6 linked regions of the Ovis aries genome follow. The protein of the gene in region 4 purifies or fractionates together with the protein of the main gene of each other region. This does not show direct contact. Links are inferred from orthologs where the notes say so. Each region holds a gene or a part of one and is shown on either strand. Other genes may lie near its edges. The genes, in order: RECQL4, CEP290, PKN2, PNMA2, TRIM33 and MARK4.

What was found.
Region 1: the proteins of PNMA2 (region 4) and RECQL4 purify together in Homo sapiens (affinity purification with mass spectrometry; 3 studies listed by BioGRID and IntAct, with this or other methods). This does not show direct contact. The link is inferred for Ovis aries from reciprocal best matches to the Homo sapiens genes PNMA2 and RECQL4.
Region 2: the proteins of PNMA2 (region 4) and CEP290 purify together in Homo sapiens (co-immunoprecipitation; 3 studies listed by BioGRID and IntAct, with this or other methods). This does not show direct contact. The link is inferred for Ovis aries from reciprocal best matches to the Homo sapiens genes PNMA2 and CEP290.
Region 3: the proteins of PNMA2 (region 4) and PKN2 purify together in Homo sapiens (affinity purification with mass spectrometry; 3 studies listed by BioGRID and IntAct, with this or other methods). This does not show direct contact. The link is inferred for Ovis aries from reciprocal best matches to the Homo sapiens genes PNMA2 and PKN2.
Region 5: the proteins of PNMA2 (region 4) and TRIM33 purify together in Homo sapiens (affinity purification with mass spectrometry; 3 studies listed by BioGRID and IntAct, with this or other methods). This does not show direct contact. The link is inferred for Ovis aries from reciprocal best matches to the Homo sapiens genes PNMA2 and TRIM33.
Region 6: the proteins of PNMA2 (region 4) and MARK4 purify together in Homo sapiens (co-immunoprecipitation; 3 studies listed by BioGRID and IntAct, with this or other methods). This does not show direct contact. The link is inferred for Ovis aries from reciprocal best matches to the Homo sapiens genes PNMA2 and MARK4.

Annotation. Positions count from the first base shown.
Region 1 is NC_056062.1:13,390,578-13,394,877, reverse strand, and holds the start of RECQL4 (ATP-dependent DNA helicase Q4), read right to left. Parts: upstream 2,801-4,300; 5' UTR 2,786-2,800; coding exon 2,702-2,785; exon of another isoform or gene 2,638-2,701; coding exon 2,604-2,637; exon of another isoform or gene 2,481-2,603; coding exon 2,380-2,480; exon of another isoform or gene 2,145-2,379; coding exon 2,004-2,144; exon of another isoform or gene 1,701-2,003; coding exon 1,099-1,700; exon of another isoform or gene 1,007-1,098; coding exon 910-1,006; exon of another isoform or gene 833-909; coding exon 706-832; exon of another isoform or gene 598-705; coding exon 487-597; exon of another isoform or gene 389-486; coding exon 257-388; exon of another isoform or gene 174-256; coding exon 81-173; exon of another isoform or gene 5-80; coding exon 1-4. UniProt on the Homo sapiens protein: An ATP-dependent DNA helicase which unwinds dsDNA with a 3'-overhang in a 3'-5' direction. Does not unwind more than 18 bp of dsDNA. May modulate chromosome segregation. The N-terminal domain (residues 1-54) binds DNA Y-shaped DNA better than ss- or dsDNA.
Region 2 is NC_056056.1:124,377,701-124,381,200, forward strand, and holds part of CEP290 (centrosomal protein of 290 kDa), read right to left. Parts: intron 2,375-3,500; coding exon 2,108-2,374; intron 1,539-2,107; coding exon 1,431-1,538; intron 793-1,430; coding exon 593-792; intron 1-592. UniProt on the Homo sapiens protein: Involved in early and late steps in cilia formation. Its association with CCP110 is required for inhibition of primary cilia formation by CCP110.
Region 3 is NC_056054.1:66,045,717-66,049,216, reverse strand, and holds part of PKN2 (serine/threonine-protein kinase N2), read right to left. Parts: intron 3,401-3,500; coding exon 3,280-3,400; intron 1,223-3,279; coding exon 1,092-1,222; intron 1,011-1,091; coding exon 935-1,010; intron 857-934; coding exon 765-856; intron 1-764. UniProt on the Homo sapiens protein: PKC-related serine/threonine-protein kinase and Rho/Rac effector protein that participates in specific signal transduction responses in the cell.
Region 4 is NC_056055.1:39,174,498-39,177,104, reverse strand, and holds part of PNMA2 (paraneoplastic antigen Ma2), read right to left. Parts: intron 2,348-2,607; 5' UTR 2,219-2,347; exon of another isoform or gene 1,941-2,218; 5' UTR 1,529-1,940; coding exon 434-1,528; 3' UTR 1-433.
Region 5 is NC_056054.1:91,878,335-91,882,630, reverse strand, and holds the start of TRIM33 (E3 ubiquitin-protein ligase TRIM33), read left to right. Parts: upstream 1-1,496; 5' UTR 1,497-1,616; coding exon 1,617-2,142; intron 2,143-3,619; exon of another isoform or gene 3,620-3,692; intron 3,693-4,296. UniProt on the Homo sapiens protein: Acts as an E3 ubiquitin-protein ligase. Promotes SMAD4 ubiquitination, nuclear exclusion and degradation via the ubiquitin proteasome pathway. According to PubMed:16751102, does not promote a decrease in the level of endogenous SMAD4.
Region 6 is NC_056067.1:52,725,755-52,729,254, forward strand, and holds part of MARK4 (MAP/microtubule affinity-regulating kinase 4), read left to right. Parts: intron 1-1,366; coding exon 1,367-1,476; intron 1,477-1,583; coding exon 1,584-1,743; intron 1,744-3,500. UniProt on the Homo sapiens protein: Serine/threonine-protein kinase. Phosphorylates the microtubule-associated protein MAPT/TAU. Also phosphorylates the microtubule-associated proteins MAP2 and MAP4.

The sequences.
Region 1 (4,300 bases), on a different chromosome or scaffold from region 4:
ATACCTGGTGTGATCTAGAGTCAAGGCAGCCGTCTTGCAGCCTGGCCTCAGCCCCACCACGCTCCTGCCCGCCAGCTCACCAGACAGGATCCGCATGATCACAGGCTCCTGCCCGGGGTAGAAGGCGTGGTGCCCCAGTTGCTCCAGGGCCTGAAACACCTCAGCCGGCGTGTCTGTGGACACAGGTGTCAGTCAGCTTGGCTCTGAGTCATCCTAACCCTTCCGTCCAGGCCTGGGCTGTTAGGCATCTGCTGACCTGCCACCTGACCCGAGGGCCCCGGTGGGTAGAGTGGAGGCACGGAAAGAGGTGGACAGGGCATCCTGGACACAGATGGCCCCGTGGGCACCAACAGCTCAGGTGCCCCAGGCTCAGCGTCTTCTTCACCTGCTGAGAACAGATGAACAGCATAGGAGCCCTGGACTGGTCTGGCGTCATAGTACCAAGAAAGCAACTTGCTACAGCCTCTCCTTAACCTCTTCACTCACCAGAGAGTTGGCAGCAGGCTGCACCTGTCCTCAGGGATGCTTCCTGTAATGTGGGCTGGGTCTGTGCACCATCCACCTTGACATCCTCCTTCTGAGGTGCCAGGAGAGGTTCTGGACCAGAAGCAGGGAGTCAGTAGGGCCTTTGCCTGAGCCAGAATTGCCTCTCCAAAGAGCACAACACCCCTGTAAGTAGGCTGGCGTCCAGGGCAGAGGCCTCACCGGGCTGAGAGCATCGGGACGCCCAGTGGCTGAGCTGCCCATGCTGGGAGCAAGAATCCTGAGCTGGACCTCTGGGCTGACCACCCCCAAAACACTCCTCTTTTTTCTGCCACTTCTGCTTCCATGCCTGGTTGGGGACACAAAGAAGGGTCACAGGGCAAGCAGCAGGACAGGTGGGGGGAGAACTCGGTACCACCTCCTCACCTGCTTGCGAAGGAGCCTGCCCCGCAGGGCCCGGCCCCGCACATAGCGTCGCTGCTTCATGTTGAGCCGCACATAGTTCCCCCTGTCCTGGACAGATCTGGAAGAAATGCACATGTCGGCAGTGCCCACAGCCCTCCCTACACTGGCTCAACTGAGAGCAGCCCTGCTGGGAGGTTAGAGCAGTGATACCTGGAGGCTGGGGTCCTGCCTGGGGGCTGTGTCTTCACAGGCTGCTCTGTACAGTCTTCTGCAGGCCCTGCAGCCCCAGCTCCCTCAGGCATGGGTCCTGCTTGGTCGGTGCCCTGCTGGGTCTGTGCAAGGCTTCCCTCCAGCTCCCCACTCTGTCTCCGCTTCTTGCCTTGACGGTCACCAGGCTGACACTTCCCTGCACTGACACCAGCTGCTGGTAGGGCTGGAGCCTCTGGGCCCTGCAAAGGTACCTCAGGACCAGCGCTGAGGCTAAGGACAGATGCAACAGCTGGAGTCAGAAGCTGTGAATCCTCCGCACCCAGGCCAGGCTGGCAGGTCCTGGAAACCTCCAGAAAATCTGGGGTCCTGTTGTGACACCGCTGCAGCCACTCAGGGTCGAGGGAGCTCAGTCGCAGGCTCAGGGATGCCCTCAGCTGCTGGAGCCGGCCTGGCCTCAGCTGGGGCCTGGGAGGCTGAGGGAGCACCTGATTGACATTTTCTGGAGAGATGGGGGCAGCTGCTGCGCCTGGTGGCTCCGGTGAAGGGATCTTGGAGGAGGATCTTTGTGCAAGCCGGGGTATCCGGCCCAGGGTTGACCTAGCCTGGGAGGGAGACAAGCAAGCAGGAACTCAGGCCCTTGGGGTGCCACAGACTCATTCGTGCTGGAGGCCCATCTGTAACAGCTGGGTAAGGTGAGAGGCAAAAGGTTGGAACATAAAGGAAGCTGAGGGTAGAGGCTGATCTGGAGCTCCTCTGCGGAGCTGTGCTGGCTGTGTGTGCACAGGTGAGCATGTGACTACCTGTAGGACACTCGACAGGGATGGGTATGTGGTAATTCTGGCTGGGGTCACCTGCAGCTCTGGACCCAGGCTGGATGCACTGTTTACTGGGCCTTCATCCCTCACCTGCAGACTGCCCTTTAAGTTGGCCTTAAGCCTCTTCCCATAGTCCTGCGCAGACTCCTGAGGGCTCCACCTTGAGGGAGGATGGGGACTCTGGGTCGCAGCCCGATTCAAGTGGTTCCCCCAGCAACTGGGTTCCAACATCTGCAGGAGACAGTAGAGACCTAAACCACGGAGAAGCTGGTGTGTGAGGGGGAACAGAGATGTCTCCACCCCCGAGAAACCCAAGGAGGGGCTGTCCTTCCTCCACGCTCTCACACTTCCCCCTCTGCCCCCCGCTCCCGCCGAGCTCTGTGCCCCACAGAAGTTGGGTCACGACTCCTCCCGGCTCCGGCACACAGGATGTTGACCCAGAGGTTGCGATGTCGAGCCCAGGTACCTGCTCGGCAGCGGCGGGAAGCGATTGCCCCGAGCTGTGAGGCTCGACGCCGCCGGCCTGGCCCAGTGCTTTCTTCAGGGAGCGGTACTCTCGGTACAGCGCTGAGAGCGGGGTCGGGGGATCGGAGTTGAGGAGTCAGGATTCCCCTGGAAGGGGGCGTGGAGGCCTCCCGCCCCCGGCCCACAGCCTTGGCCACTCCCTCCGTCCCGCGCCCGCGGGCTCACCGCGGGTCTCCTCGGGCGCCGCTTCCACGTCTTCCTGTAAAGGGAACGCGTCAGGCGGATGCCGTGCCCTCAGCTCCCCGCCCACGGGCAGTCCGCACCTTGCTCGGCCGCCGCCCGCTCTGCCGCCGAAACGCGCGCTCCCACGCCTGCAGCCGCTCCCGCACGTCCCGCAGCCGCTCCATGGTCGCCGGAAGCTTGGCGCCCCGCGAATCTCCCGCCTAGAGGGCGATGCCGGCCGCCAGCCAATGGGGACGCTCGGCAGCGTTGGAGGCGTAACACCCTGGGCTGGGGCAGCCAATCTACGGGGCCCTGCTGCAGCAGCCAATGAGGTGCGTTTACGTCATCGCGGCGCGCGACGGCGCAGACGGAGCGCGACGTACAGCGAGGCGGGGCCGGCGGCGGTGGCGGCTGCTTGGGTCCGGGTGAGCGCGGGCTGCCTTCTGGGGACCGAGCACTGCGGCTTGTGGCTCCTTCTCTGCCTGGTCGCACAAGGAGCGTGCGGACACTCGGGGCGGCGCCGCACCGGAGGCGGGGGCGGGGGCGGAAACCCGGGCGGGGCAGCTGAGGGAAGGGGAAGACCCGAGTCGGGTGCCGGGCTGATCGGCCTCGGGTCTTGGGGGACGATGCTCCGTCTTCTAGAGGCAGGCCCCGCCGGAGAGACGGAGGGCGTCGAACTGACGGGCTCCCGCCCTGAAGGCCCGGAGGAGCCGTGCGGGGGCGTCTTCAGGGAAACGCTGGAGTCGTGGGCCGGTGAGAGGGGGCGGTGGCCACCACGCTGAGACTCCTCCCATAGTGACCACACTGGCTGCTTTCCTTTTCTCTCGTGACAGGTGCTCGGTTGGTCTGTCCTCACAGCGAGGTATGAATCGTCCTCGCGAGATTTATCCTCAGGGAGAGAGAGACCGAGGGTTGACGTCCCGGGCTTCTCAGGAACCAGCGCCCTAAGGACTTGTGTATGAGGTCCGCAAGAGCTGGGGCTCTGGGGCCAGGCTGCCACCCTTCCCAAGCTCGTTACCCGGGAACTTTGTCTGGCAAGGCCTAGGTCTTAGTTTCCTAACATTTTCAGGGAAGTGGCTTGGAGGCAGTTTTGAGGATGAGGTGCCTGGCACACAGTAAGTCAGCAGCAGAGCTGTCACGCAGGTACCTTGTGGCCTCAGGCATCTCTTTTGTGCTCCTTGTCAGCTTGGATATACCTTTGACAGCTGCCTCTACCTATCTCAAGAAAGGCCCCTAGTTTGGGGTCTTTGAATCCCATGGGTTTGATACTTGTCCTCTTAACGTGATTCTCCAGGGAAGAGAGACATTTACACAGATGCCAAGGACACCGATGGGTGAGGCATTCTTTCTCTCTGTAAATCTCCAGGGGTCTCCATGTCTAACAGTGCTCCTGGAAGATAGTAGTTAGTACATGTTGAGTGTTTGGGTTACTCTAGCTCTTCAGACTCAGAGTTCACTGGATTCTGGTCCGTTCCACTTGTCCTACTATTTATTAAACTGTATCTATAGTTTCAACTTCTCTTTGCTGTGCTGTGCAGAATCCAAGGGCAGCCTGCAAGAGCTTGTGAGGCGGCTGAGAGAGGGTGCTATGATGTACCTTCCAGCCCCTGGGATTATCTCATCCCTCTAGTGCTTGGCCAGGGGTGGGAGGGTGGCGGGTGGGGGTTGGCTTTTTAAGAAGGGGAGGATCTCTTGATAAG
Region 2 (3,500 bases), on a different chromosome or scaffold from region 4:
TGCCAAAAACTGTTGTTGCTGCTGCTGCTGCTGCTGCTAAGTCGCTTCAGTCGTGTCCGACTCTGTCCGACTCTATGGAGAGCAGCCCACCAGGTTCCTCTGTCCACGGGATTCTCTAGGCAAAAATACTGGAGTGGGGCCACAAACTATTACAGGTATATAAATAAAAGTTTTGTATTTATGTTACTTTACAATTTTCAAACTACTTCCATATATAGCATCATTTGGCCTTCATATAACCACCTTGAAAGAGCCAGAGTAAGGACTGTCATTTTCCTTTACAGATAATAAAAAGGAAAATTTCAAAGGTTAAAGATGAGATTCTACACAAGAATCTTTTGAGTCAGACTGACTAGATTCAAATCATGGCTTTCTCATCTTCTCCTAGGCATGTTACTAACACGTTCTGTAGCTTAGCTTCCTATCTGCAAAATGGAGTGACTATCCCATATCATCAGTAGTACTGAGGATAAAATGAGACAATATAGGCAATATTTTTAGACCAGTGCATGATATAACAAATGCTTACATTTATATTTATTATATCATTATTCCCATTTTCCTATATTTACAATATATTTCTAAGACTTACCGTAATTTCATATTTTCAAATTCTTTGATTTTTAATTCAGTGATTTCTTTTTGTCTCTCTAAATCTTGAGATACTTGTTTTAGTTTGATCACAAGTGAGGAGAGAGAGTCATCTTGTTCTGCTACTGTCTGTTCCATTTCAGCCAAACGAATAAAATGCTTGTTGGTAGGAACTGGAGTGGGAGACTGTTTTATTAAATCCTATGAAATATCATTATATTAGCCATGAGCAGGTACAATGCAATGCCATACTTATCTCATAATTTTAACTTGGTTCCTTAAATGATCAAAACAATTTCAAATCTAAAATGTAATGAAGGCAATGAAGGCTTAGAGAAGACAGGAAATAGGGATCTTATTCTTTGTATTCCCAGCATCTGGCAAAGTACCTACATGTAGGGAAGGATCAATAAATAAATATTGATTGAATTAATGAGTTAAAGTTTGAGGAAGGTAAGGTTTGCATGTTAGGAGAAGAAAGGTCATTTTGCACATACAGAATACAATGACCAAGAGGCAAGAATTATCAGAACATAGAAAGCAGTTAGATACAGGTAAATTAATAATGTATAGATTTGAAAAGACAGACAGAGGTCAGAGGAAGAAATATAAACATGATTTTCTAGGCAGCAGTAAGCTATAACAAATCTAGGCCTAGGGAAAAAAATGATCAGGGCCGTGTTTTCAGATTATTCTGGCAAAAAAAAAAAAAAAAAAAAGTAGGATGGCTTCCAATCCCCTCTCCCTGAAAACAGAGCTAAATTTTCAACTGTATGGTCTGAAAAATCAATAAAGAATAGAACAAAGTTCCTAGACTCTTACCCAAACTGTAATCTTACCCAAGCTGTTTCTTTGAATTTACTGAGTGAATTATCAGCCTGCAGTTCTAATTTACGATGAAGAATATGAAGTTCTTCTTCATGTTTCTTAACAATTTCTCTTTGTTCCTGTTTTATAACAAATGAAAACTATAGCTTACATTGTGACTCATATAAATTTACATTCTAAAAGTCTTAAATATTTTATCTTTAATATACTAAAATCCTTATGAGAGGGAAGGAACAACATGTGCATACATTTCCCTAGCACATGTTCAAACTGACAAGCCTAGCCTTAGAGTATAACTTATTCTTAATATTAGAATACTATGGATTTATTATCTTTTAACTTGTTTCTAGCAATTTTTAAATTTTAGATTTTTTTTACCCCTTAAAGTTCTGGCAAATTTGATTTTCACTGATACCAGTGTGATGGATTTCATTCTAACTTACTGCCTCAATCTTTACCTATTAACTTGAAATCAGTTTCACCATGAACGCCATTACTGGTTTACTCAGTCAATAACACAAACTGCCAGTTTTACTGACACATCTGTAATCCAATCACGTGAAAGTAACAATACCTGAATTGAATCATTTGAAAACAAGAAATGAAACACCACTTAAGGGCAGAATAGTACTTGGCATTTGTCTAAAAAACACCATAATAAATAAGACAGCATAACATAACCAAATACCTCTCTGGCTTTTTCTAGCAGATGTTGATACTTCTTCAACACTTCTTCCTTTTGATTTAACCTTGCTTGCATATTTGCAATGGTCTGGTGAGCAAGTTTCAACGTGTGATGAGATTTTGGTTCCACCTCTTTTCTGCTGAACTCAGCTATAAGCTTTTCTTGTTCTGCAGTGGCAGGCAATCGAAGCCTCAGTTCATTGATCACTTTGTCTCTTGACAGAATATTCTCCTCTGCTAACCGTAAAGCAGATTCTTTTTCTCTTAGTTTCTGTAATGATAAATCATTAAAAAAAATACTTTTTTTTTCTTTTAAATGCTTCATCTGAATTTTAGTCAGACTGGTGGTGGTGGTTTAGTCACTAACTCGCGTCCAATTTTTGCTACCCCATGGACTGTAGCCTGCCGGGCTCCTCTGTCCATGAGATTCTCCAGGCAGGAATATTGGAGTGGGTTGCCATCTCCTTCTCCAGGGGATCTTCCCAATGCTGGAATCGAACCCGGGTCTCCTGCACTGCAGGTAGATTCTTTACCAACTGAGCTACAAGAGAAGCACACTAATAGCCAAATGCTACTTTCAGTTCAGTTCAGTCACTCAGTCATGTCTGACTCTGCGACCCAATGGACTGCAGCACACCAGATCTCCCTGTCCAACTCTCAGAATTTACTCAAACTCATGTCCATTGAGTCGGTGATGCCATCCAACTATCTTATCCTCTGTCATCCCCTTCTCCTCCTGCCTTCAATCTTTCCCAGCATCAAATGAGTCAGCTGTTCGCATCAGGTGGCCAAAGTGTTGGAGTTTCAGCTTCAACATCAGTTCTTCCAAAGAACACCAGGTCTGATCTCCTTTAGGATGGACTGGATGGACTCCTTGCAGTCCAAGGGACTCTCAAGAGTCTTAATAAGGTTAAACTGTATTTCTATGTGATAGCAGTTATCTACATGCATATTTTATTTATAAGATTATTATATATGTTAGAAACTTCATTGTTAATGATGAAAATGAAATTTAGTTACAATACTTTATTTAGATCTTATAGTTTTAGAAATAGGAATGTGGGTGGTGATAGATCTATAAAGAAAATGTACTGAATCATTTCTTTTATTTTGATTCATTGACTCATTAGAGCATCAGAAGAGTAACCCATAGAAGTCAACAAAGTATAAAAGCTGGAATTTTAGTGGTCTGAGTCAATGGATCTCCATTGTAAAATGTGCAGCTTCTCAAAACAAAACAGAAAATAGTATATATTCCTCAACGGAATTAAGCAAATACTCAAAAATCAAATAGCTCAGTGGCAATTCACATAAATGACAAATTTACAATATAGAAGACAATTTAAGTTTCTTTGGTTGATTTAAAAATGCACAATTTAAAAAATTATTTTAAATGT
Region 3 (3,500 bases), on a different chromosome or scaffold from region 4:
TAACCTAATCACAATATTATCCCCAAAGTCCTTACATTTTAATAATCATATATAAAGATGAATCCATACCAATTTACACACAGAAAGGAAAGATGCTGTGGTCAAAAGCTACCATTTTAAGAGAAATAGAGCAAAAAATAGATATAGGTGTATTTTAAAAAGCAGAAGGAATTAACCACTTAACTGAAGATTACTTGTAAATGACATCTTATTACTTCTGTAGTATGAAATGCAAAATAGCCTCACGCAACCACAGATGTGTAATAGTTCCTAATTCATACAAACATTTCAACATTTCCAAGTATAAAAACTTAATATAAGAATTAGTTTAAAGATTTCATCAACTTTTTTTGGTATTCACCAAGCAGTAAAATGTCATAAGAATGGGAAGAGGGAATTAGCTAGAAAGAAAAATAATATTTAATCAATACCCACCTCATGCATTAATTTAGTTTCTTTACTTATTACAGCTGACCCCTGAACAACATGGGGGTTAATCGTGCATAATTTACATTCAGCCCTCTGTATCTGCAGTTCTTCCACATCTATGAATTCACCAACAACAAACTATGTAATATTATAGCATTTACTAAATGAAAAATATCCATATTAAGTGAACCCAAGTAGTTGAAGACCATGTTATTCAACAATCAACTGTATTATTAAAAGAGATAATTTTATCATTTCCATATATACTGAATACATCAATTTTCTTAAGTTATAACTTTAGAAAAGTGTAACAATTTCATTTTCAAAAAACTAACCTGTCTACTTCATCTCGTGCCACAATGTCTCCTTTCTTTAAGGCTTTTATTGCAAACATTTCATTTGTGTGTTTATATTCAGCCAAAAGCACCTAAAATTAGATTAAAGTAATTATTTCTCATTTGAATGATTACTCATGCCTACAAAGAAAGAAAATTTAAAAGATTACCTTTCCAAAATGTCCTCTACCCAAGACAGCACAACACCTGAAGTCTTGTAGATTGAATTGAAACATTTGTTGAGATCTGAAAACAGTAATGCCAATTAAAAATAAGGCAAAAGTATGGGACCAAACATGTAAGTAAAGCTGTGGATATATTCTTTACCTTCTGTCCTCAAGTTCATGAATACCACTATACTCTAGGCCTGACTGAGGGATATCAGGCTCATATTCAGATTGAGATTTTGGAAGTATTCTATTTCTGTCATTCTCAGTATCAAAAACAGTTTCTGAATCCTGTAAAATATTAAACGCTCATTAAATCAGAAACATTCAGAAAACAACTTATTAGGTAAGAATAGAGAAAAAATGTTGTCAATATAAATATGAATGAGAAAATAAAATTCAGATGTTATTATTAGATATTCATTTTTATGGTCATTAATTATATATTACTCTCATCTTTAAAATGTAAAAAATGAATAATAAAAACACTAATTTGAAAAGATACAGGAGCTCCAATGTACACAGTAGCACTATCTACAATAGCTAGTTTCATGGAACCAATCAACCAAAGTGTCCACCAACAGACCATTGGTTTAAGAAGATGCGGTACAGACAGATGGCCAATGGGCACATGAAAGGGTATCCTCTTACACTGTTGGTAGGAATGTAAATTGGTGCAGCCACTATAGAAAACAGTACAGAGATTCCTCAAAAAACTAAAAATACAGTTGCCCTATAATCCAGCAATCCCACTCCTGGGCATATACTGAGACAAATTTCTAATTCAAAAAGATACACGCACCCCTATGTTCTTACAGCACTATTTACAATAGCGAAGGCATGGAAACAACCTAAATGTCCACTGATAGATGAATGGATAAAGAACATTGTGTGTGTGTGTGTGTGTGTGTGTGTGTATACATACACAGACACACAATGGAATTCCTCAGCCATTAAAAAAGAATGAAATAATGCCATCTGCACTAACACAGATGGACCTAGAGATTATCATGCCAAAGGAATTAAGCCAGAAAGAGAAAGACAAGTACCACATGATATCATTTATATGTGGAATCTACAATATGACACAAATGAACACATCTACAAAACAAAGCACTCAAGAAATATAGAGAACAGATTTGTGGTTGTCAACGGTGATGGGGTTTGGGGGAGGAAAGGATTGGGAATGTGGGATTAGCAGACACAAACTACTATATACAGGATGGATAAACAGCAAGGTCCTACTATAAAGCATAAGAAATTATATTCAATATCCTGTGATAATTGTAATGGAAAAAATATATGTATAACTGAGTCACTCTGCTCTACAGAAGAAATTAAGCACAACACTGTATATCAACTACACTTCAATAAAATTGTTTTAAAATGTGGTATATGGATATACAATGGAAAATTAATCTCTGCCCACAAAAAGAATGAAATAATGCCCTCTATAGCAATATGGATAGACCTAGAGAATATTACCCTTAGGTAAGTAAGTCAGACAGAGGAAGAAATGGTATATACCACATATGTGAAATCTAAAAAATCATATAAATGAACGTATTTACAAAACAGAAATAGACTTATAGATTTAGAAAACAAAGTTGTGGTTACCAGGGGGAGAAGGAATAGGAGAGGGACAAACTAAGGGTATAGGATTACTAGATACAAACTTCTATAAATAAAATAGATAATAGGATATATTATATGGCACAGGGAATTATAATCATTATCTTCTAGAAAGAAATAATGAAATAGAATCTGAAAAAAATCCTGAATCACTATGCTGTATACGTGAAACAGTGTTGTAAATCAATCATATTTCAATTAAAAAATGAATACATTACTTTAATTTTATATGCATTTTCAGGTATCATGTTAACCTAGTTAGAAGATGCACAGTGTCAGGAAATACTTCATCTAATACCAGCCATACTCCCAGGCTCCTAGAATAAGCAACCTATTCCATCTCTAGTGGCTCATGGGCATCCAGAGGTTTTTATGTTTCACTCACAAGAAACAACTTAAAAGTGCATCTCATTCATTATGATGCTATAGTGTTAGTTGCTCAGTTGTGTCTGACTCTGCAACCCCATGTAGTCCGGCAGGCTCCTCTGTCCATGAGGATTCTCCAGGCAAGAATACTGCAGTGGGTTGCCATGTCCTCCTCCAGGGAATCTTCCTTACCCAGGGATCCAATCCCAGTCTCCCACATTGCAGGCAGATTCTTTTCCATCTGAGCCACAAGGGAAGCCCAATGATGCTACGGCTGATAAATTACCATGATGCTATAACTGGTAATTTATTTGGTGGAAAGGAATTATACAAGGTTTAAAATGCCTTACCTGTCCTGGTGTATCCAAATCTCTTGCAGATTCATCTATTTCACCAAGGGAAGAATCACGTGGTGGGGCTCGAGGAGGCTCAGGTTCAAGATCAAAGTCCAACTTGGTTACTGTGGAATCACTTATAAAAGATAAAGCAATTCACCAAAAGCAGTAATCAAAAGTATACATTTTAAATAGCTTTAAAATTAAAGCAAACAATTTTTTTGTTTTTAAAAGGA
Region 4 (2,607 bases):
TCACAGGGTTGATCCCTGGATCAGGAAGATCCCCTGAAGGAGGGCATGGCAACCCACTTCACTATTCTTACCTGGAGAATCCCATGAACAGAGGAGCCTGGTGGGCTATAGTCCATTAGGTCAGGATTGCATAGAATCAGACACAACTGAAGAGACTTAGCAATTCTTGCCCAAGGGACTTCCCTGGCCACTCAGAGGTTAAGGCTCCACTTTCACTGCAGGACATATGGGTTCAATCCCTGGTTGGGGGACTAAGATCCCACATACCCCACGATGCAGCCAAAAAGATGAAAGAAAAACAAAATAAAACCTGGCTTGAATGCTTTGATTTCAACTGTGCAAATTATAGAGAAAAAAAGACTGAAAAGGTCTTAGCCTAATAACGTGGCTGTCCCTCCACCCACCGTCTGTGGGTCACCCTTGGAGTTGGGTTTTAGTCATTGGCCTCGTTACCCCAGTGGCCATAGCCATCCCCTCCCTCCGGCTCTTCAGTATTCTCATTTTCAAAAGCGGCCTCTTCCTCCTCTTCTTCCCGGATGACCTTCATTAACTGCAGGAAGCTGGGAGGCCGGCCCTGGTCTTTCAGCTCCCTAAGCCGACACCAGAGTACCTCACTGAGGCTTGCCCCGGCCATGACCTGCTCCAGGCGGATTTGATCGGCGATGTTCCTGGGGATCGCCCGCTTCTCCACCGCTCTCCGCAGCAGGGTTTCTAACCGTAACACGTAGGCTGAGACTTTCTCTCCTTCCTCTTGATAGGTTTTCAGGTACTTCACCTGGGAGGTCCGGCGGCTCTCCAGGTTCCCAAACACTTGCTTAAATGCTTCCAAACACTCCTCCACGCTGATGGATGGATTGTCTGCCTGGACTATGTGCATGAGGTCCAGGGCTGGCCCGCGAAGGCTTTCCATCAACCATCTCTTCTTTTCTGCCTCTGCTACTGGCCACTCTTTGACTATCTCAGTGGCCTGTTCCAACCAGACTTCAAAGGGCTCTTCCTCGGGGGCAGGCACGGCGCTCCCTGAGAACACTCTCAGCTTCCGGTACCTCATGGGGAGCAGAGGCTGAGGGGCATGTGCTACCACCTGTCCCAACACATGGGCCAGTAACTCTGGTGAGATGCAGGGCACGGCTGCTGGAGACAGCCCCTGGTGCCCAAGTGCCCGGAACATTCCTGAGACCGTCTGTCCCTCTTTTTCTAGAAAGAGGTTCAGTCTTTCCAGAAATTCCGTGTCCTGGTTAGGGGTCTTGAAGATGACTTTCCAGACACCTCCCTTGCCCTGAACCTCGCTGGGAATCACAGAGACCTCAGGGTCCTCAAGCAACTCTAACAGCACCGCGTTGGCATTTTCCTGCTTCCGGAATATTTTGCCAAGGAGTCTATACCTGCCCAAAGGCTTTAAAGTCTCCTGCAGGACCTCCTGAATCTCATCCTCGCTGCAGTCCACTGGGATCCCCATAACCATCAGTGATTTCTGATCATCCACACTCAGAATCCTACACCAGTCCTCCAACAGGGCCAGCGCCATTGCCGGATACTGACTGGCTGGAACTCTATGGCTACTGATTAGCTTATGGGACAGACTGGCGCTGACTTCAAACTGAGAAAATCCCAGATGAGCTTCTAGACTTATAACCCACTAGTTAACAGGTCCTGGACCAATCACCCTTGCTGCTCAGTGGCAAGAACCTGGCCTTTTCCGTGAGGTCTCCAGACCTGCCCCAGGTTGTATCTCAGTTATGAGGGGACCATGGCCAGAGGCTCTGCAGTCTCGTTGAGGAGCGGGGGTGGGGACCTGCCCCACAGGAAGCACGTGGCAGTTCCTTTCACCCCTCTCTGGGTCTCTGCCGCCTCACCTCTCTCTAGCCAGTGGGGAGATGCCTCCACTCTGGCAGCCAGAACTCTTGGAGGGAAGTTTCCCAGCAGAGTGGCTTGGGCTCCTAGGGAAACAAGGCTCAGTTTTATCACACAGCCCTCTCCTTTCTGGGAAGCATGGGTACCTGGTGAGGGATGGAAGCGGGAGAGGGGAACAGGGAGACTGCCTTACGTTATAGTTGAGTCATCGCTCTTCTTTGCTTACAGTGACTTTTTACTCTTCGGGACCCTCCTGCAATCAGGCTTCCCCTCAGGCATGCCAGTTAATGGAGCTCCAGTGATGGACAGGACTCAAGATCTTTCCCACATGAAAAGTGAAATCGGGAGGCTGTTTGTTAGGTACCTGTTTGTTCCAGAATGTTCTGTGACAGCCAAGGCGCTTATGTATTCAGCTTCTAGTACAAGAAGATGTCACCCACTCAGCACAGTGGTGTGTCTGGGTGTCTCTCCACTTCAGCCAAGCCAAGCTGCCCTGTATAAATATAATAAATAGTGTATTTTTATGATGATAATATCCAGTGTCCCTGGAGGAGGAAATGGCAACTCACTCTAGTATTCTTGCCTGGGAAATCCCATGGACAAAGGACCCTGGCAGGTTACAGTCCCTGGGGAAGCAGAGTCAGACTTGACTTATAGACTCAACAATGACAATACCCAGTGTGAAGACTGTTGATACACTTATTCAAAAATACAGCAATTCTTGGAAATTTTCTGGTGGTCCAGTGGTTGAGA
Region 5 (4,296 bases), on a different chromosome or scaffold from region 4:
TTACACTCTTGATGAAAATTTTTAGGATCATCTTAAATTGTTTGAGGTGAGAAAGCAGTTTTTCAAAGTTCTTTTCCAAAACACAAAAGTTTAGCAAGTTGAAGGCCATCTCTGTATGTGACCGGCTCCTTCAATTCTTTAATCTCCTCTTCAACTTCTCTTTGCCTCTGTCAAGTCACTCCAGTCACACAGACTGTAACAAGCCAAGAATATGGTCTACCTCAGGCCCTTTGTACTTACTGCTTTTTCTGATTAGAACACTCTTCTGCAAGAGAACCAAAGCTTGATCAACATAGGACTTCCCCAATCACTTCTAATCTGAATTCTTTTTTCCCCTTCATAGCTTTTGTCATTCCCTGCATATATTTACATCACTCTTCCCCCAGACTGCAAACTCCTTGAAAGTCAAGGGTCTCCTTTGTTCCCTGCTGCAATCCTAGCATCTATAAAACATTACCTGTCACGTAGTAAGAGGTCACTGTTTTGAACGAATAAATGAAAAATGTTTCGAGGTGGCTTATTGTAAGGACTTATACCAACCAGCTCAAGAATATTTCTTGGGAACACTGTCTGAAGAGGAAAGTACTTCACGATCTGAACATTAAAACAGCCATAGTACTTGTTTCCCAAATAAAGACAAACCTTCCTGAAAGCTGCTATTAACTACACTTGTTAGGGTATTTGCGACTCAACTCACGCCCGGACACTAAGTGGGACTCTGAAGACATAATATTGGTCAGAGCGTGACTTCTCAAACTGACGCCCATCAGTCAGTCAAAGCGCTTTCAACATTCATCAGCTCTCCCCCACTTCCTGATGCAGATCTGGGGTGTGGTCCTGGCACATCTCCGCTCTGAAAAAGCCTCTCAGTCGATTGGTTTTCTGATGCGTAGCAACGGCAGAGAAACAATCACCTTAAGAAGCTAAAAATAGCGGTTAAAGAGTTTTTTTTTTCTTCACTGAGTTTTTTCAGCCTATTTCTGGTAAGCCGCCAGTTAAAAACAAAAATCCTCCCTTTACTGCTCCCGAGAGATACAATCATCCAAAGGAACGCGGCTAATTAAAGCACAGAGACCCAGGAAGCCTGGGAGTCTAACCCCGCGCGGAGGGAGGTTTCCGCGGAGATGCGCCCGCCCTGGGACCCGCACCACCCGAGTCGCTCGCTCTACAGGAAAGAGCCCCGGCCTTCCACCCTTTCCCACTCTTCCCCGTATAGTGGCCGCGTCCGAGTTCTTCCACTCGCGACTAAAGGTAGTTTAGCCTCAACAGTCTCAGGCTTTAAAAGCTCACTGCAAACGGAACTGCAGCGGGACGGAATCTTACGTGCGGGCCCTAGAGGTCGGGAGGGGCAACCTGGACGGCTGCGCGCCCGCGCCCGGAGTTCCCGCCTCCCTCCGGAGGACGTCCGTGCGTACGTGCGCGCGCCGCGCCCGCCTTCCAGCAACCGCGCGACGCCAGGCTGGGGGTGCCGCGTGCGCGCGCGCTCTCGTTCGTTCGTTCTCTAGCCTGCTCGTTCTCGGCGGCCGCTCTCGCTGCGGCTGCGGCTGGGGCTGGGGGCGGCGGCGGCGGCGGCGGCGGGCGGCGCGGGGCGGTCCGGCGGGTTCAAAGAGGAAAACATGGCGGAAAACAAAGGCGGCGGCGAGGCTGAGAGCGGCGGCGGGGGCAGCAGTAGCGCGCCGGTAACTGCCGGAGCCGCCGGGCTCGCGGCGCAGGAGGCGGAGCCGCCTCTCGCGGCGGTGCTGGTGGAGGAGGAGGAGGAGGAAGGCGGCAGGGCCGGCGCGGAGAGCGGCGCGGCCGGGCCCGACGACGGGGGGGTGGCCGCGGCCTCCTCGGGCTCGGCCCCGGCTGCCTCAGCCCCTGCAGCCTCAATGGGCCCTGGAGTTCCCGGGGGGGCGGTATCGACGCCAGCCCCAGCTCCGGCCTCGGCTCCTGCTCCGGGTCCCTCGGCGGGGCCGCCTCCAGGACCGCCAGCCTCGCTCCTGGACACCTGCGCCGTGTGTCAGCAGAGCCTGCAGAGCCGGCGTGAGGCGGAGCCCAAGCTGTTGCCCTGTCTTCACTCCTTCTGCCTGCGATGCCTGCCTGAGCCCGAGCGCCAACTCAACGTGCCCATCCCGGGGGGCAGCAACGGCGACATCCAGCAAGGTGAGCGGGAGGCCCGGCCCGAGGTCTGGGCCAAAGGGGGTTTGCTGTGCCGAGGAGGATCTGGGGTCCTCTGAGAGTACTCGGGTTCGGGGCTGCTCGGACCGGCGTGATCCTGAAGAGTCTCAGAGGTGAAAGACACGGCTCCTGGGACAGTTTTCAGAGAAGCTGAACCTCCAGAGAGACGGGGAGGGTGAAGGGAGGGGAGAGAGAGAGGCTGGGGGAGGGGACGCCGGCTGCAGGGGAGGTTCGTGGTGTGCAGATACGGGCCGGGAAGGCGTGGACTCTGGCCGAGCGTAGGTTCGGGAGCTGATGGAACGGATTGTGAGCGAAGAAGGGGTCTGGGAATCCGCCTGTGAGAAGCGTTTTTAAGGGAGGGCCCAGCCCCGAGAGGTGTTGAGGAGGGAGTAGGTAAGAGATAAGGGCAGTGAGGATGAATTGCCTTGGGGGGAGACTTGTTCTAAGCTAGGGGAAAGAAGGACTGGGAAGGTTAAAGGACTGGGAAGGTTAAAGGGCATTGGCGAATTTGGGACTAAGAAAAGGCGTCTGGTAGAAAGTAACTTTAGGATGACATTGAGAAGAAGGAACTCTGGAAACAAAATCGCTGTGAGGGGCCTGTATGGCCAGGGAAAAAACCTTAGGTTTAGGGGTAAAGGAGAACTGAGCTTTGAAGGGAATTAGGTGTTAGGGAGAGTTGGGATGAATTTATATTCTTTGACATTAATGGACCCTTAGTGTTTCGGATACCGTGCTGCGATTGGATAAAATACGCAGTGAGGAGCCGGTTCACTGCCCAGCATAGGGGAAACAGACGTATGAGATACAGCAGTGGACGGTGGATACAGTGGTTGTGGCACAGTCAAGAGAAGGTCAGGAAAACTTTACTGAAAAGCAGTCCTTGAGTAGGTTTCTTGAAGGGTGAGTAGGTCACTGAGTTGTAGAGTTTTCAGAACACAGGGCACCTTATACATTCCTGGGACGGGATCAGGTCATCACTGGAAATTAAGTTGGTTTGATGGGCTGAGTAGGTAAGAAGTCACAATCCCTTACCTGAAGCTCTTGGGACCAGGTGTGTTTTAGAGGTCAGAATATTTTGAAAAAATTTTCTTTTTCCTCTGAGGTCTTCAATACTCCAGCAGGGTCTGGGTTAACAATTCATTATTAAGTATTAATGTTTCTGTAGTGAGGCATATGAATATCACTAATGGGATAGAGAAATAATCCCCTACAATTCAGGGTGGGTTTTGTTGCAGACTCATGAAAAAAACTAAAATTTCAAAGCTTTTGAAGTTTGGGGCTTAAGGTAAGGGATTGTGGCCCTGTGCTAAAGGGTTTTGGATTCGTCCTGTAGACTGTATCCTGGTACATTGTAGATAGACTAAAGGGAGTCCCTCACAGACTTTTTAAAAAATATCTATCTATCCTGCAAGGGTCTTCCTTGAAGCATGTGGGGTCTTTAGTTGTGGCATGTCGGATCTAGTTCCCTGACCAGGGATTGAACCTGGGCCTCCTGCATTGAGAGTGCCATGTCTTAGCCACTGGACCACCAGGGAAGTCACCTCACAGACGTTTGTATTAGGGTAAAAGGATGACATTTGTGATCTATAAAGATTGCTTGGGGGCACATCGAAAGGTAAGGGAAGAAAAAACCTGAGGCAGGACTAGTTAGGAAAATTCTGGCAGTAATCTAAGAGAGAAATTAGCTGGTAAAGAACTGTTAGGTGTTGAAGAAGGAAATGTTTTGTTATGGGGGAAAGGTATGGACTTCTGGAGAAAACGTTTTTCTTGGATGCCTACTTGGTCACTTCTTGCTTGTGAGTTGGACAGATTAATTTTACAAGGACAAAAATTATCTACCTGATAAAGTTATTGATAGAATAAAGTGACTTAACAAAGTGACTAGTACATGGTGCTAGTACATGTAACAAAGTGACTAGTACATGGTAGTTATTAGTGAAATGGCAGCTAGGTTATCATTGATGGTAACTGATTGTAAGTAGTGCTGAGAATGGAGATGAGGCGCCAGTTGAGATTGGTGTGAGAGAGACACAGGTGTCTAGGCCAAGTTCCAGGTTTCTTGTTTGGTGGGTGGCAGTGCTGTTAATGCAAAATCAGATAATTCAGGCACAGAAACAGGTTGTGTGTGTGTGTGTTGTG
Region 6 (3,500 bases), on a different chromosome or scaffold from region 4:
CCTGGGGCCAGCAGAGAAGTCTGGGCTCTGGTCCCTGCCCTGCTCCTTTCTAGCTGTGTGACCCTGGGCCAGTGGCTTCCCCTCTCTGTGCCTCTGTTTCCTTGTCTATAAAGTGAGATAATCATAGAACCTGTCCTATAGGTTTGTTATGAATAGTAAATGAATGAGTTTATATAAAGCACTTACACTGGGCATGAAACAAGTGCTTTTGTGTCATAATAGACATGTGATAAGTTCTGTTGTCTTAGCGAGGAAAGTCGCTCAGTCGTGTCCGACTCTTTGCGACCCCATGGACTGTAGCCTACCAGGCTTCTCAGTCCGTGGGGTTTTCCAGGCAAGAGTACTGGAGTGGGTTGCCATTTCCTTCTCCAGGCTTTGACTGTTAACACATAAGAACTCACAGGTGACTTCTGGAAGAGTTTGGACAGAGGCATCAGTCATCTGCATGCTTGAGAAAAACTCCCACCTTGGCACCTGCCTCACTCACCACCCCTTCAGGCCCAGTCCCTTCAGCCCAGAGCCCTTGAACACTTGGCCCTAAAGCATTAGCCTTGGAAGAGCCCCTTAGGAACCATCTAGGAAACCCTCACTCTGCAGCTGATGAAGTTGCAGCCACCATCAGATCTGGCTGTATTAATCAGGACTTCACAGTTGCAGGTAACAGAAAACCTAAGCCATTCTGGCTTCAACCAGAAAATAATAATTGGTTGATCCATATGAAATCACCATTTTCATAGCTCAGAAATGATCAGTATAAGCAATTTCATGTAGTTTAACCTAATAGTGATGTTATTTCATTCACATAACTGAAAAGGCCATGATATGTCAGCTTTCAGGCACAGCTGGATCCAGGTGCTCAGAGACAGTTGTTAGGAATCTTCTCGGTGGTGACTTCTTTCCCAGGCAGCTCTCCCTGCAGGAGCAAACTGACAACAGCATGTCCTAGTGGCCTGGACACCTCAGTGGGAAGAACAGCTACTTTCCTAATGTTCCAGTGGAAGCTGTAGGGTGGGACCCATTGGCTACCCCTGAAGCAGTCAGTTTGACCTTGGGAATGGAACACTCTTATTGGCCAGAAGTGGTTCATATGCCCACCCTGAACCAATCAGTGTGGCCTTGGGGATGGAACACTCTGATTGGTCACACCTGAGTAATATGCCTGCCCCTGGGGTTTGGAGCAGGCAGGAGTCAGCTGGGGAATCTGAGCAGAGAAAAAATATTCTTCCAAGGAAAATCAGGGTGCTGCTGGCAGGAGGGGGAATGATTACTGGACAGGCCAAAGTGCAGACATTACTGTGTGATGCAGAAAAGAGTGGAAGGGAAGGATCTGGGGAGACTGAACCTCCTCTCCATCCCCCTCTCCCAGAGGTGATGGTGGGTATGGGCTACACGCGGGAAGAAATCAAAGAGGCCTTGACCAGCCAGAAGTACAACGAAGTGACTGCCACCTACCTCCTGCTGGGCAGGAAGACTGAGGTCAGAAGGCGTCAGGGACATTCGGGATGCGCGATACCCGGGGTGGAGGGAGACCTCTGGGACAGAGGGGAAGGGGCTGAGGTTCCTTGTCTGTCATCTTCCTGCAGGAGGGTGGGGACCGGGGTGCCCCGGGGCTGGCCTTGGCACGGGTGCGGGCGCCCAGCGACACCACCAATGGAACAAGCTCCAGCAAAGGCACCAGCCACAGCAAAGGGCAGCGGAGTTCCTCCTCCACCTACCACCGCCAGCGCAGGCATAGCGACTTCTGTGAGTACTGCCCCAACCCTTGGACGTGCCGTCCCGGCCCAAGGCCGCAGACCTGCATTATGTCAGGGTTCCCTGGCTGGCAAGCAGCAGAAACCGGCTCGAACCAACTGCAACGAAGGGAGAAACATCTTATAAAGCTGCAGGGACGTTGCATGGAATGTGGAGGCAGCCAGGCTCAGGAAGGGATTAGAAACTGGAAAAGCAGCCAACCCTAGAACAGACACTCTGTGACTTGCTTCTTCTTTGTTCATCTGGTTCTTCCTTTCTTTTTTTCATATCCTGCCTTACCTTTTCCAGTCTCTTAACTTCTTACAACTCAGTTTTAGGGGCCAGCTCAATAGTAACTGAAATCCCTTTGATCCACTTGATATCAGGGTCCAGTCGGGATTAATCCACTTGACTGGGACACAGGAGGACACATTGTACAAAAATGCTGCTGAAAGCCTGCCCTCTTGCCTCTCTTCCAAACTTACTAGTGGGAAGGGGCTGGGGAGACAGCTGCTTGCATCCTACATTCTTCAACTAACAGATATCTCATTTCCTGCAGGAAATAGACCCACGACCACTGCCACCATAAATGAGACATGGGAACTTGCAAGAGGTCTCTATCTATACCCTCATCTTAATCATCTTTGCTATATTTTTTAACAGCTTTATTGAGAAATAATTCACATACTATGCAGTTCACCAATTTAAAATATACAATTAAGTGGCCTTAGTACGTTCACAGATGTGTGCATCCTTCACCACAGTCCACGTTAGAACATGGTCAGTACCCTGGAAAGAGACTCTACAACCCTTAGCCATCTACTTCGAATCTCCCATCCACCCTAGCGCCCCCCCCCCAACAACTACTAATCTACTCTCTCTATAGATTTCCCTATTCTGGACCTTTCTTATAATTAGAATCATGCAATCTGTGGCCTTTTGTGACTACCTTCTTTCACTAAGCATGTTTTCAAGATTCATCCATATCATAGCATATATCAATACTCCACTTTTTTATTGCCAAATAATATTCCATCACGTGGATATGCCATATTTTGTGTATGTATCACCAGTGGGGGGTCATTTGGGTTTTCACCTTTGGCTGTTATGAGTAACTCTCTGTGTGGGTCTTTGTTTTCATTTCTCTTGGGTGTGTACCTAAGGGTGGAATCGCTGGGTCATATGGTAACTCTATGTTTAATAGTTAAATAACTGCCAAGGTGATTTCCAACTTTCCGTTATTTTTGCATCCCTACTTCTCCTGGGGGTGAAGTGCCTTACTCTGGGACAGGCACTAGTACGGGAAGAAGGAAGTCTGGGAAGCTTAGTCTTGAGCAGGGAGTATCCTGGATGGTCAAACCATTCCCCTTCCCTGGGTTTCCTTTTCCCCACCTATACAATAGCGAGATTGGCCCAGAAAGGCCCTGAGAAGCTTGTGATTCTAACAACCTATGATTAGGACATGTTAACCTTTAAAAATAACCCCCATGGAGACCCCCTGGGTTCCAGGGTTCACGGGATGAAAGATGGTCGACGGGCGCCCCGGGTGTGTCACTGTAGAGCTTGCTATGGTTCTGGGGCTTTTGAGCATTTAAGGTTTCTGAATTTTAACACTCAGAAGTTCCAAGTCTCTGAAGTTCTAGAACACCCTTAACCCCTGGGTTCTAAAACCATAAATTTTGAAGATGTTCTAAGGGACCAGATTTGTTTTGTTTTTGAAATTGATAGTCACATCCTTCAAAACTCAGTACAGAAAGCGTAGACAGTAA